Linked DNA regions of Ovis aries. The main gene of each other region encodes a partner of the protein of the gene in region 3 in a complex. Links are inferred from orthologs where the notes say so. Each region holds a gene or a part of one and is shown on either strand. Other genes may lie near its edges.

Region 1 (3,974 bases), on a different chromosome or scaffold from region 3:
TTTTTCACTAACGCATGTATCTTGTTTATTTACGAAGATTTCATTTTTATTTTTTCTTTTTAGTTTTAAAAGGTTTTGTTTTTAAATGTGGACATGGAGTATATTTTTAGAACCTAGATAAATCAATAGGGAGGAGGAGAGGATGTGATTAAGAATTCTGAGCTTCTGGAAGCTCAGTGGTAAAGGATCCACCAGCCAGTGCAGGAGATGTGGGTTCGATCCCTGATCCAGGAAAATCCCACATACTGTGGAGTAACTAAGGCCATGTGCCACAGCTGCGGGCAAGCCTGCGCTCTACAAGAGAACCCACAGTGAGAGAGCAGCCCCCGCTCGCTGCAACTAGAGAGAAGCCAGCAACGAAGGAAGACCCAGCACAGCCAACAAATTAAAAGGAAACCGCCTCCCCCAAGAACCCAGACTCTGGACCCAGATGACTGAACCATCCCAGCTCAGTTACTTACTACGATTTTCCATAGGTCACTTCATTTCTGTGCCTCATTTTACTTATTTGTAAAGTGGGAATAATAACTGCATCACTCTCATCAGGCTGAGAAAATTATGAGTTAATATTTTCATATATGTGAAGTGCTTTAAACAGTACCTGGCACACAGTATATGCTCAATAAATGCTAGCCATTGTGAGCTCTTCTGGGTTTTCTAGTGTAGTCGGGGCATGCTTTGTAGGGTTTCATTGATTATTCTAGTTGATAAAAGGCTGCTGTTGTTGTTCAGCTGCCAAGTCGCGTCTGACTCTTTGGGACCCCATGGGCTGCAGCATGCCAGGTTTCCCTGTCTCGCCACTGTGAATAGATTAGTCCTTTTCATATAAATAGGATATAATCGGTGATAGTCAATTTAAAGACCCTGCTGGTCATAAGTCTACAGACTTTCAGGGCTGAAGGGATGACAGGGAACATCTTATTAATATCTTTATTTTGCGGTTGACAACCCCCAGGCACTTATGAAAGCCAAGGCAGAGAGCAAGGCAGAGAGTAGCCAGGATGTGGTTGCTTCCGACATTGAACACTTTAGGCTCTCAGAAGGCTGCAGCAAAGTTTCCATTATGGCATCACTTATCATCCCACTGATAAGCCAGCTACTGGAGCAGTCCGTGCTCATCAGAATGACAAATAACAGCATTTACATATTTGGAACTGTCAATACACAAAGTAAAGACAGGTAAGGAAACTGGCTTTGCTTTATACCTTCATGCTATTCTTTACTATCCTGAAAGAAAATCCTTGCAATTGGGTTGTTTTTATGTGTTTCCATTTCAAACATCCCTTGTAAAAAGCATTTTTTTTTTTGTTTGCTTGTTTGTTAAAACTATAATAAAAACTATAGCTATATACTATATATAGTATATATATAGTTATATACTATATAGTTATATATTATATAGTTTATATATATAAAAACTATAGTTATAGTTAACAAACTATAGTTTGTTAAAACTATAATAAAAAACAGTCTGAAGGATTATAGGCCACCACCCAGCCTATACCACTGGAACCATTTACACCTCAGGAGGCACACATACACAGATAATCAAAGTTTTATTTAAAATTAGAGAACACTTAAAAATAAACAATATAATAGACTTGAATGCTTATTGAAACATAGAAAAATGCTTTCAAATACACTAAAACCTTCAAATTTACCCCAAAGTATGCTATGCAGCCAGTCAAAGTGCTTTGACAAGCATCACTCTCTACGGATGGCTGGGGTAGGAGGTAGGCTGCGGAGTTCCCTGCAGGCAGGGGGGTTTCTTAGTTGGACTGGCGACGTCTCTTCTTGTTGTGGCTCTCAATCGCTCTTCTCAGCGCCTCATCCTGGATGAGGTCCGACATTCTCATGTCTGTGTGGCTACAGCCAATTTTCGGGCAACTGTGACAGAGGAGAAAAATCAAGTCAGGCCGCTTCACCTTAATGCCTTCAGAATCAACTTCTCTCCGTGCAAAAATGTAAGTGCACACTTAAAAAAAAAACTGAATGAAAAATTCTTTCAATTCTATAGGGTTTTACAATTGTCAAAAGTTTCACACAGATGATTTCTCATAATCCCATAATAACCCCTCCCCGCCACCTTTTTTCCTCCAACCCCTATCATGCTAGCCCCCACAACTTGTAACCACTGGTTTGTCCTCTCTGTGAGTTTGCTTCTTTTTTGTTTTATTCACTAGTTTGTTCTATTTTTAGATTCCACAGATAATGATATCATACAGTGTTTGTCTTTGTCTGACTAATTTCACTTAGCAGAATTACCCTCCAAGTTCATCCACGTTGATGTAAATGGCAAAATTTCATTCTTAGCAGAATTACCCTCCAAGTTCATCCACGTTGATGTAAATGGCAAAATTTCATTCTTTTTTTTATGGCTGAGTAGTATTTAAGTCTGGAAATTTTACCAAAAAGGGGGTACATTTAAAAACTCAGGACTGATGTGCACTCATTCACTAGTTCAGAGTGCCTACCTACCTGGGGCTGGGGCAACGCCCACTTCACGGCACTCACTTTCCAGTGGAGGAGAGAAACCATTGCTAACCCGCTGCATAGCGTCTTTAAGTGCCACAATGGCTAAAAAAGCAGGGTCAAGGGAGAGAGTGTGAGCTGAGGGGCTTATCTAGCAGGGGTCAAGCATGGCTAGCTGGGAGGGCTTATCTATTAATAGAACAAAGGCTGCATGTGGCTGGGGCTGGGGCAGCGGCATGTGTAGAAGCTGAGGAGGCAGCTGCTTGGTATAAGAGCAAGGTCAATGTAGCTGGAATGCCCAGGGCAAGAGGGAGGGCATTTGGAGATTCGACTGGAAGTGTGTGGGACTTTGGATTTTATTTTAAATATGAAAATCCTGGAGGGGAGGGATGAAATTTAGCTTAGATTTAGAAAACATGACTCTGGCTGTTTAATGCGGACACAGGCGGAGAGGAAGCAGGGAAGTGAGGGGGTCATGCAGCAGCTGGAGAGAAAGGGCAGCTTGGATGAGGGCACAGCTTCCAGATACAGCCGGAAGTAGAACCCAGGGGGCTTGCTGAAGGACCGATGTGGAGGGTAAAGCAAAGAGCTGAGCTTTGTTCAGAGTTTGGCCAGAGCTGAAGGGCCTTGGTGGTACCCTTTATCTCCATGGAAACAACTGGAAAACTAGGTTGGGATGGAATCAGGCAGGAGTCCTGGCTGCTACATATTCTCTCTGAAATGCCCACCAGTCCTCAGTGGAGAGGCTGAGTGGGCCGATGGAGACTCAGGGGAAGAGCTGCGGCTGAAGAAATCAGTGGGTGAGTCATGGTTCTGTTTAGATGTGGTCTCCTCTGAAGGCAGTGGGCTGGATGAAGTCACCTGATTTCTTCTCAACATGAGCCAGACTTGGGTAGAGTAGAGCACCCAGTTTTGAAGTCAAAGCCGACCTAGGTCTCTACCGCCTACTTGCTTGTTATGAGACCACCGGCAGCTCACTTTGACTTTTGGAGCCTCTGCATCCTCAGATTTACAGAAGGCGCAGAATCCCAGCTTCACAGGGCTCCAGGCAACACAGTGCTCAGTAGCGGTCATTCCCTTCACTGCCTATAGCCTGCACACCTCCAACACAGACATGTGCGCATTCGTGCACTCATTTGACCCTCTTATGCAAGTGGCCCTATGAAGGGTTCGAAGCATCCAGCTGTAAAATACAAATACAGGTTCCTGCCCCACACAGAGCTCTGGCCCAGTGATCTGAGACAACCCTCCAAAAAGCACAGATCAAAAATAACAAAAACAAGACAAAAGCTATAAACCAGGAGGGGAAGAAAGCTGATCATGCGAGGTCTAATCTGTCCAGTAGTAGAGGGCTCAACTGTGTAACACAGAAGAGAAACTCTTTCTTGGTCTTGATTTCTGGACCAAGGCATCTTTCTATGAGAAGAGCATGAATCAGTGTAATGAATAATACGCTTGCTAACAATATTTATATTTACTGAAATGGGTCCTGTATGGTCAGG
Region 2 (3,730 bases), on a different chromosome or scaffold from region 3:
CTAAGTTTTCCCCACTTTAGGCTGTACAAGGGGTCGGTGTGAATGCCTGCGGGGCAAGGGGTGTGCGGACCTTTGCCCCTTCCTGGCCTCGGGCCGTGGGAGCAGAGGTACCTCTTGGGCGGGAAGCAGGCTGGGTGTGCCAGTTCATAAAAGATGCCCCCACCTTGTGTCCCCGCAGAAGGAAGGGGAGTTCACCCTGCACGGCCGGGCCATCCTGGAGATGGACCAGTACATCCGGGAGACGTACCCTGATGCCGTGAAGGTCTGCAACATCTGCCGCAGCCTGCTCATCCAGGTGCCCGGGGCCGGGCGGGGCGCACTCTGCAGGGCTCACTCAGGGCCCAGGGCTCACTCAGGGCCCAGGGCTCACTCAGGGCCCAGGGCTCACTCAGGGCCCAGGCCTCTGACCACGGGCATCTCCTCAGAAGCATCTGACGACAAGTGCACGAAGGCCTGCTTCTCCCTGCTCCTTCTGCTCTGTCCCAGGCTCTTTTTATTTTTGCCCCCTGCCCTGCTGTGTGCCTTTGCCCAGGACCCCCACTGTCGCCCCAGGGCTACAACGCGTGCTCTCAGAAGTCTGTGTCTCCTATTATCGTGGCAGCAACGCGCCAACCATCTTTCTGTCTCAGCCACAGATTCCTGTCGTCTGTTGGCCTCTGAGTACATTGTACAGCTTCAGAGCAGAGCAGCTGGACCAGTGCTGGATGATTCTGCTTTTGCCTTTTTGCTTTAGACTTTTCTGATGCCTTTTTTAAGGCCTTCATTGAGTTTGTTACAGCGCTGCTTCTGTTTTTTTATGGTTCGGTTTTTCGGCAGTGAGGCAGGTAGGACGTCAGCTCCCTGACCAGGGATCGCGCCTGCACCCCCTGTGCTGGAAGGCACAGGAGGCCCAGGGAAGCCCCTGTGTTTCCTCCTTTTTCATTCTCTTTTTGCATTTATCAGTTGCACTGGGCTGGGCCTCTTGGCACATCCATCCTTGGGCACCTAGTGGTTATGTTTCTTGGGTTGGAATCCCAAGAGTGGAATTTCTAGAACAGAGTGTGCACACGGCTGTTTAAAGCTCTGCCCCACGCTGCTGAAGTGCCTTCTGAAAGCCGTGGTCGTCTTCATGCCCCCTCCAGGGCCCACTCATGCTCAGAGTCCAGGCTTGGGGGCGGCCTTGCTGCTCCAAGGTCCTGGCCGCCACCCACTCTGCCCTGCTCTGGCCTCTGGAGCCTTGAGCTTCTTCCCTTTGCACTCACTTGTCAGCTGCTTTACTAAAACCCACTGCACTGAAGACTCAGAGTTGTTCTCATTGTCCGTTTGGGGCCTGGAAGACAAAATTACCAAGCCAGTGGGATGTCTTCTTTGCAGTCCGCTGAAGGGTTATGAACACAGAGATGTGTTCTCAAGCCATCACTTTCTCATTTCAGGGTCAAAGCTGTGAGACGTGTGGAATCAGGATGCACTTACCTTGTGTGGCTAAGTACTTCCAGTCCAACTCGGAGCCGCACTGTCCCCACTGTAACGACTACTGGCCCCACGAGGTGCCAGGTCTGTGTCTCCCAGCCACTTGCTTTCCTCCTGGCCTGTGGCAGGGCTGTGTGTATGCCAGAGTGTGCGTGCCCAGCATTGAGGGGGCACCGGGGCGAGGGGCGGCAGGGCACCCCAACAAGGGCTCCATGTGTGTGCGGGCCCTGGGCCCCATGTACTGAAGTACCTTCTGTGGTCATTGGAGGCCGGCCTGCTTGCTGGTGTTGGTTCCGCAAGGTGCTCTGGAACCCAGCAGAAACCCTGAGACGCGAGAGGGTCTGGTATAGTAAACACGCTCCCCTGCAGCTGTCTCTGGAGGGGAGGTGAAAGTGCATCCCCAGACGGGCTCATCCTGCCTCCCTGGGGGGTGAACTGTTCCGTGGGACAGAGTCCTCGGCACAGGCTTATGGCTGGGGGCGCCCACCAGCCCCGCCACTCACAGTGCCTTCTGGCTTTTCTGTGCAGAAGTCTTCGACCCCGAGAAGGAGAGGGAGACCGGTATGTCCAGATCAAACAAAAGGTCCTTACGGTCCCGGCAGCACTAGCCAGGCCGCCGCCTTCGGGGGAGTGACCGCCTGCCCCATTTGGAAGAGAGGCATCAGTTTCACGGTTCGCGTGGATCACCTTTTTACCTTTTATGTTTGCTTGTTAACAGGTTTGGAATAAACTTGCTCAGCAGCTCCTGCGGCCTCATCTGGTGGCGCGCCCCTCTCTTGGCACTCACTGAGAGCTGGGGGCCTGGGCTCGGGTCTGGGCTGCGGCTGGCCGAGCGCCTCCTGCCCAGCATGGCCCGAGGCCACTTGCTCAGGACAGCGTTGCTTTCAGTCCCTAGCTCTGGTCACTGGTCCTACTCACACTGGCCAGCCCGACTTACTGGATGTGTGGGAGCCTTAGCCTTGGGCCCGCCCCATGCCCCACACTCTCCCTGGCCCGAGGTGCACCGGCCTGCACGGCACGAGGCTGCGGGAGGGGCTGTGGCTGTGTGTCATCTCTGGGCGCTCTGCCTCGCCTGCAGCTGCCCCAGGCCTGACCCAGGAAGTTGGCCTGGGTGCCACCTTCCCCTGGGTCTCCTGCATCACGCCTACCACCAAATCCTGTGCAGCCCACCTGCCAGATGGCCCTCAGCCCCACGGCCACCACCCAGGCTGGCCCAGCTCCCCTCCCCTCTGCACTGCTTCCAGATTCTCCCTCAGGGTCACCCTCCCATGGCCCCCGTTGCCCTGAGGCTGACGCCATGCAGGGGCCTGTGCGTTTCACTGTCCCCCCTCCCACTTTCCAGGGTGTGGCATTTCTCTGTTCCTGGATGAACTTTCCTGCTCCTCACCCTGCAGCCTGCACACACGGTCCCTCCGCCTGCCTGCTCTCTCCCCACATGTCCTGCCCTTGCCAACACCACCTATTCACCCTTTAGATCTTGGCGAGGTGGTCACCACCTCCATGCCCAGTCCCCCACCTCCCCGTACATTCTCGACCATCACTTGCCACACTACTTTAATTCCCTGACTCCCCTCCCTTCCAGCCCAGTATCAATCAGGACCCCTTCAGTCATGATACAAAACCCAACTCAGATTGGCCTCAGCACAGAAGGCTAGGGGGCCCTTCAAGAGGTTTGATGCAGTGGGCCCAGGGTGCCCACGCGTCTGCATCGCTGTCCCACCCTGTTATATGTTGGCCTCATGCTGGGGCTAAAACACGGTCTCAGCAAATCAGCCTCTTTCTTCATGGTAGCAAAATGGCCACCATACTTCCAGGACCCGCACACCCAGTCCCCACCGTCCGGAGGAAGAGGGCAGGTCTCATTTAGTGGCTCCCTCATCTCAGCAAGCATCCAGTCTGCATACTTGTGGAAGTGAGGTGGGAGAGTCCAGGGGGCACTGGTGACCTGGGTCTCCCCTCAGCCACAGGAAGGAGCCCCTCCTGAGCCACATGGCTGAGTGAGGAAAAAGTCGTTTCAGCAAATTGAATATGATGTTACGGGCAGAGAGGGAACGAGCAGTGGGCGCTGAAAGAGTGGGGTGTCTTCCACCCGTGCAGGGAGGGACATTGTGCCTGATTCACCTCTGTCGACGGGTGTGGAGTGTGACCCAGGTCCAGCCTGGGCCCTGAGGCCTGCTTCCCAGGCGGTGAAAGGTGTTCAGCTGGAGCCCATGTGAGCCAGGCTGGACCCTGGCCCAGCCTTCTGAGGGCAAATGCAAGCCTTCGTGAAGCCCTGTAGGAG
Region 3 (4,842 bases):
AACCTTTATTTTTCAAGGTCCTGGTATCTGTGTTCTCTGTGTGCTCAGCATATGGTTGAGAGCAGTCTCTGGAGGTAGGCTGCCTGCCTTAGTTCAGATCCACAGCTTCAGCTTCCTTGCTACAGTTAACATTCTTCTCTGTGCCTCAAGTTTCCTCATCTGTGTGAAAAGGTCATAAAAGCATAGGCCTCGCAGGGCTGTTGTGAAGATTAAATGAGGTAATACCTGGACTACTCAGAAGGTTTGATCCAAGTTTATATTTGTTATTACTGTTAGTGTTATTACTGCCATCCTCATCACAACAGTGTCAGTGTCAGTTCCCATGTCAGCCTGAGGTGGAATGTGGCCTGGGAGACATCTCCCTGCAGTGCTTAAAACATCACCCGAATCCTATTAATTTACATCTCTATTTTCCAGACGCTGTGTAGAGAGGTGTTTTAAGACTTAAAACTGGTATTTTTTTCACCCATTTTGAGTATGACATCTGCTATCTGGGTAAAGATGTTGATTTTCATAGTCACAGGGGTTGCTAGACCTGTGGGATTACTAGGAACTGAAGTGACTACCTGAGCAAGACAGAACACTAAAAAATAACCCAGCCCAGCTATTGACAATGGCTTTCCTCTTATTTCCCATTTCTGTCATCTTTTGGTAGATTTTTTTAAACTCGAGATACAATTGATCTTTCTGAAGGGACCTTTTGCAGGATTCTCAACTGTAGGAGGTTTCTTTGCATTTGAGTTTAAATTTTAATTTGCAAGTAAACTGAAGCAGATGGATTGTCCCATTGTGAAAGAAAAAAATGAGTGCCTTGATGATACATTTGTTTTTCTTAGCAGGCTTCTGCCATTAAGATTAATGCCTGGGGATATACTGTTAGATCTTGTGTGGAAGAGAACGTTATTACTCATAGTTTACCAGATTTTAGCATTCTTGCATCACAACACAGAATATCATTTTACATTTAGTATTGCTTTTCCAGTGCCATTATCAGATTGCATTTTCATAGTAAATTACAACAAAATTTTATGCTACCAACATTTAATGAAATTTTAATAAGGTTGTGTTTTGATGTTATTATTCAAATAATGTGTTGTGAATTGCTTTCCTTTGAATATATTTGCATTAAAGAGGAACTCAACTTGATTTGGTTCTTTGAACAGTTTACCCACTTTCTGGTAGCTTTAAGAAGACAAAGAGGGAAATTAAGTTTCGCCTTTGCAAGTCAGTAAATAGAAAAGGAACCCATTTGCTAGGATCTGTGGATGTAATGGCAGCAGATTACAGATGGTTTGAGTTAATGAAATGACTCACGTTGGTTACTAAAGCAGCACAATTAAAAATATAAAGTAGATATTTCACAGATTATGACGGATGATAACCTGGAGTTTTCGCTTTCTCATTGATCTCTAAGGCTAGAGACTCACATGTTAGCAATTCTTGGTCAGAGATGCCCCAAATTAAATGGTAGTCTCTTGAGACCGACTTCTCTGTTGGTAGCATTCTCTTAGCCATTTCTGCCAGATCTGTGGTTGTGAGCCCAAGGCCCATCTTTCCATGAGCACGTGCTTCCAATAGATAAAACTCCCCGGATCAAGCAAAAACCCTCCACTTATCGTGCTTTCTGGGGTGACTGTGCCATAGCTGTCCGGCTGAAAGAGTTGATTACACAGAATATCAAGGCTGAAAGGTGAAAAGACACGGAGAAAGAGCCCTGTATGCGAGACGAAGCTGTTTACCATTGTTTCTAAACAGACTCGGGCTTTAGAGAAAGTAACTGGTGGAAAATGGTGAGAAGGGGCTGGCGAAGGCAAACTAGTAGTCCTTGGGGTCTTTTAATTGTCTTTACGTCGTTTCGTGTGGAAAGAAATTGCTCTTACTTCCTTTCCACGCTCTTCGCCGTATTTTTCTCCCATATTCATCCTGGGAGTTTCCTTCACCTACATACAGCCCTGATTTCAGAGCTTTTGACTCTCAAGTTTCTACAGCCCTGGCCTGGGTACGATCCTGAGCCAAGCCGCACACTCGCTCAGGAGCTCTGCTTCCTGTTCGCCATCTGCAGGGTTTGGTAATAACGACGACACTTAATCATAATACAGCCCGAAAGGCTGCAAGGAATACCCGCTTCTTACCGCCGCCGTCCGCGGCCGCTGGCCAGACCGGAGCGACCTCTAGACGCGGCGCGGCCTCGATGACGCAACGCGCAGCCTCCGTGACGCAAGCGCGCAGCTTCTGTGACGCAAGCGCGCAGCTTCTGTGACACAACCGCTTCTCCTCCGGGCCCTCCCACAGCCCCACGGACTAACGGCTAACCGACCTTCAATCCCTGCCACCGCTGCCGGTTACGGGGAGTCCGCGCGGTCGGGGTCCCGCCGCCGCGACATGTCGCAAAAGCCGAAGAGCCGGGGCCGCCCCAGTTCCCAGGGCGAGCGGGAGCCGAGTGGCGGCGGCGAGGAGGCCCCGAGCACGTCTCGCGGGCCGGGCGGCGCCGCGTCGCAGCGGCGGGCCCAGGCCTCCCCCGCGCCGGGGCCGCGCTCGCAGAAGCAGCTGGAGCTGAAGGTGGCGGAGCTGGTGCAGTTCTTGTTGATCAAGGACCAGAGGAAGATCCCTATCCGCCGCACCGACATCCTGCGGCATGTGGTCGGCGACTACAAGGATGTGCTCCCAGAGCTGCTGCGGCGGGCGGCCGAGCGCCTGGAGTACGTGTTCGGGTACCGGCTGGTGGAGCTGGAGCCGCGCAGCAACACCTACATTCTGGTCAACACGCTGGAACCGGTGGAAGAGGACGCGGAGGTGCGCGGAGACCAGGGAACGCCCACCACTGGGCTGCTCATGATCGTGCTGGGGCTCATCTTCATGAAAGGCAATACCATCAAGGAGACCGAGGTCTGGGACTTCCTGCGGCGCCTCGGGGTACACCCCGACAAGAAGCACCTCATCTTCGGGGAACCCAAGAAGCTCATCACCGAGGACTTCGTGCGGCAGCGATACCTGGATTACCGGCGCATCCCGCACACGGACCCCGTGGACTACGAGCTCCAGTGGGGCCCGCGCACCAACCTGGAGACCAGCAAGATGAAGGTGCTCAAGTTTGTGGCTAAAGTCCACAACCAGGACCCCAAGGACTGGCCGGCGCAGTACTGCGAGGCTTTGGCGGACGAGGAGGCCAGGGCCAGACCCCAGCCCGCGGGCCCGAGTCCAGCCACTGCCTCTGCCCCAACCCCTGCTCCTGTCTCTTGAAATCTGAGACACACCCCAGGGCCCTCTCCCTCCCCGGGGGAAGGGCTGGAGGTGGGAGGAAGCATCTTGATTGTTTAAATGCGTGGTAGTTCCAGGAAGTGTTTGCAAACTTTAATTCTTGTAATGTTGTAAGTCGTTTTGATTCTAAAATTTCATTTAGAGGGTGACTTGTTTTGTTTTGATTTGCTTCAGTGTCTGTGTTTTTTGGTGTAAAGATCTTGTTAGCTTTATAAAGCGAATTGGAAAACTTCCTACCCGGATCTGGAACTGCCAAGGAAATATAAGCGAACTGGCCCTTGTCCGGCCTTTGAACTGCCCCACTCTGTAAAGGAAAAGTCTTCGTAAATTGAAAACGAAAGTGTAATTGCCTATATCCCCTATTACCTTAACGCAGCTATTTAAAAAATCTGTTTTCTATGCATGTAAGCATTTTGAGTCATTCTAAGCAATGTGTGTATTGTAGTTTTTCCAAATAACTTTTTACATTGATAATTACTATGCTGTGTGGCTGACCATTTTGTTCAATTTTTTTTGCTACTATAGTTATAATAAATACTGTATTTTTGAAGCAATTTAGCATTATGCATTTATTTTAACCCTAACTCATGAGAAATTTCATGACTGAAAACTAGCATCATAAGGAAAAAAGAAAACAATTTTTGTTACATATCATTGAGGTAAATAGTGTTTTGTTGAAGTTGCTTTACTTTTATATGTGTGACATACTGGATCATGATGTAAAATTATTTCTGTGGGTCATGGAAAAGTTGATAAAAGTCTTAGTGATTAACCATGCCTATTTGGGAATCAGACTAGTGGGTTCAGAGTCTGCCTCACTTACAAATTTAAGGAGATTAAGTTGTACACAGACCTTTCCTTACCTATAAAACGGGTTGATGCTGCCTGTTACTGTGTATGGTAGTGTGATAATTAGGTATGGAAGTTTATGTAAAGTTATGGGCACAAATTTGTTTAAATTGGGCTTTTTTTCCTTGGCTTAGGACTGTTAAAGTTTTTTCTTTTTAACTTTTTCTTTCATTCTCTTGTAAATCATGACTGTCCTTCTAGTCCGACTCTACTGTGTGGTTTATGGAAAAATAGCTCACGATGGAGCCCACATAAACAGAGCAGAAAGTAAGATCCAACTGGGCTTGGAAGGGGTGTCTGCAGTGTAGTGAACAGGATATGGGGTTTTGAGGTTGTCTGACATCTCAGGACAGTACAGAACCCACCTGCCAATGTGGGAGACCCTGAGTTGGGAAAATCCCCTGGAGAAGGAACTGGCAGTCCACCCTAGTATTCTTGCCTGGGAGGTTGTCTGACATCTCAGGACAGTACAGAACCCACCTGCTAATGTGGGAGGCCCTGAGTTGGGAAAATCCCCTGGAGAAGGGACTGGCAATCCACCCTAGTATTCTTGCCTGGGAAATCTGAATTCTAGCCTGGTGGGCTACAGTCAGTGAAGTATCAAAGAGTCTGACAGGGCTTATCAACTTAGCAGCAGCAGCCTGAGTGAACCTGAAAGTGAAGGTGCACATCCCTCAGTCGTGTCCGCCTCTTTGCGGCACCATGGACTATACAGTCCTTGGAATTCTGTAGGTA

Evidence for each region. The genes of interacting proteins can lie anywhere in the genome.
Region 1: NSMCE3 (region 3) and NSMCE2 share a complex: the UniProt entries of both Homo sapiens proteins name them as parts of the SMC5-SMC6 complex. The link is inferred for Ovis aries from reciprocal best matches to the Homo sapiens genes NSMCE3 and NSMCE2.
Region 2: the proteins of NSMCE3 (region 3) and NSMCE1 are in contact, whole or in part, in a crystal structure (PDB 7DG2), measured with the Xenopus laevis proteins. The link is inferred for Ovis aries from reciprocal best matches to the Homo sapiens genes NSMCE3 and NSMCE1. Residues at the interface, in XP_018121157.1 of Xenopus laevis: Gly57, Glu58, Val60, Gln61, Tyr62, Leu64, Ile65, Lys66, Gln68, Lys69, Val82, Thr100, Gln102, Gln103, Val104, Phe105, Gly106, Phe107, Asn123, Leu125, Gln126, Arg127, Val128, Gly130, Asp131, Gly132, Met133, Arg134, Asp136, Glu137; in NP_001083134.1 of Xenopus laevis: Ile5, Glu7, Gln10, Arg11, Leu13, Gln14, Ala15, Met17, Ser18, His19, Leu30, His33, Leu37, His38, Leu54, His57, Leu58, Pro60, Leu61, Phe62, Met63, Val84, Asn86, Ile88, Thr89, Met91, Ala92, Ser93, Asp94, Gln149.

The regions. Positions count from the first base shown.
Region 1 is NC_056062.1:27,876,545-27,880,518, forward strand, and holds the end of NSMCE2 (E3 SUMO-protein ligase NSE2), read right to left. Parts: intron 1,888-3,974; coding exon 1,770-1,887; 3' UTR 1,538-1,769; downstream 1-1,537. UniProt on the Homo sapiens protein: E3 SUMO-protein ligase component of the SMC5-SMC6 complex, a complex involved in DNA double-strand break repair by homologous recombination. Is not be required for the stability of the complex.
Region 2 is NC_056077.1:25,320,057-25,323,786, reverse strand, and holds the end of NSMCE1 (non-structural maintenance of chromosomes element 1 homolog), read left to right. Parts: intron 1-178; coding exon 179-295; intron 296-1,412; coding exon 1,413-1,694; 3' UTR 1,695-1,717; coding exon of another isoform or gene 1,718-1,839; 3' UTR 1,840-1,977; coding exon of another isoform or gene 1,978-2,057; 3' UTR 2,058-2,193; downstream 2,194-3,730. UniProt on the Homo sapiens protein: RING-type zinc finger-containing E3 ubiquitin ligase that assembles with melanoma antigen protein (MAGE) to catalyze the direct transfer of ubiquitin from E2 ubiquitin-conjugating enzyme to a specific substrate.
Region 3 is NC_056071.1:25,979,083-25,983,924, reverse strand, and holds NSMCE3 (non-structural maintenance of chromosomes element 3 homolog), read left to right. Parts: upstream 1-2,258; 5' UTR 2,259-2,382; coding exon 2,383-3,240; 3' UTR 3,241-3,812; downstream 3,813-4,842. UniProt on the Homo sapiens protein: Component of the SMC5-SMC6 complex, a complex involved in repair of DNA double-strand breaks by homologous recombination. The complex may promote sister chromatid homologous recombination by recruiting the SMC1-SMC3 cohesin complex to double-strand breaks.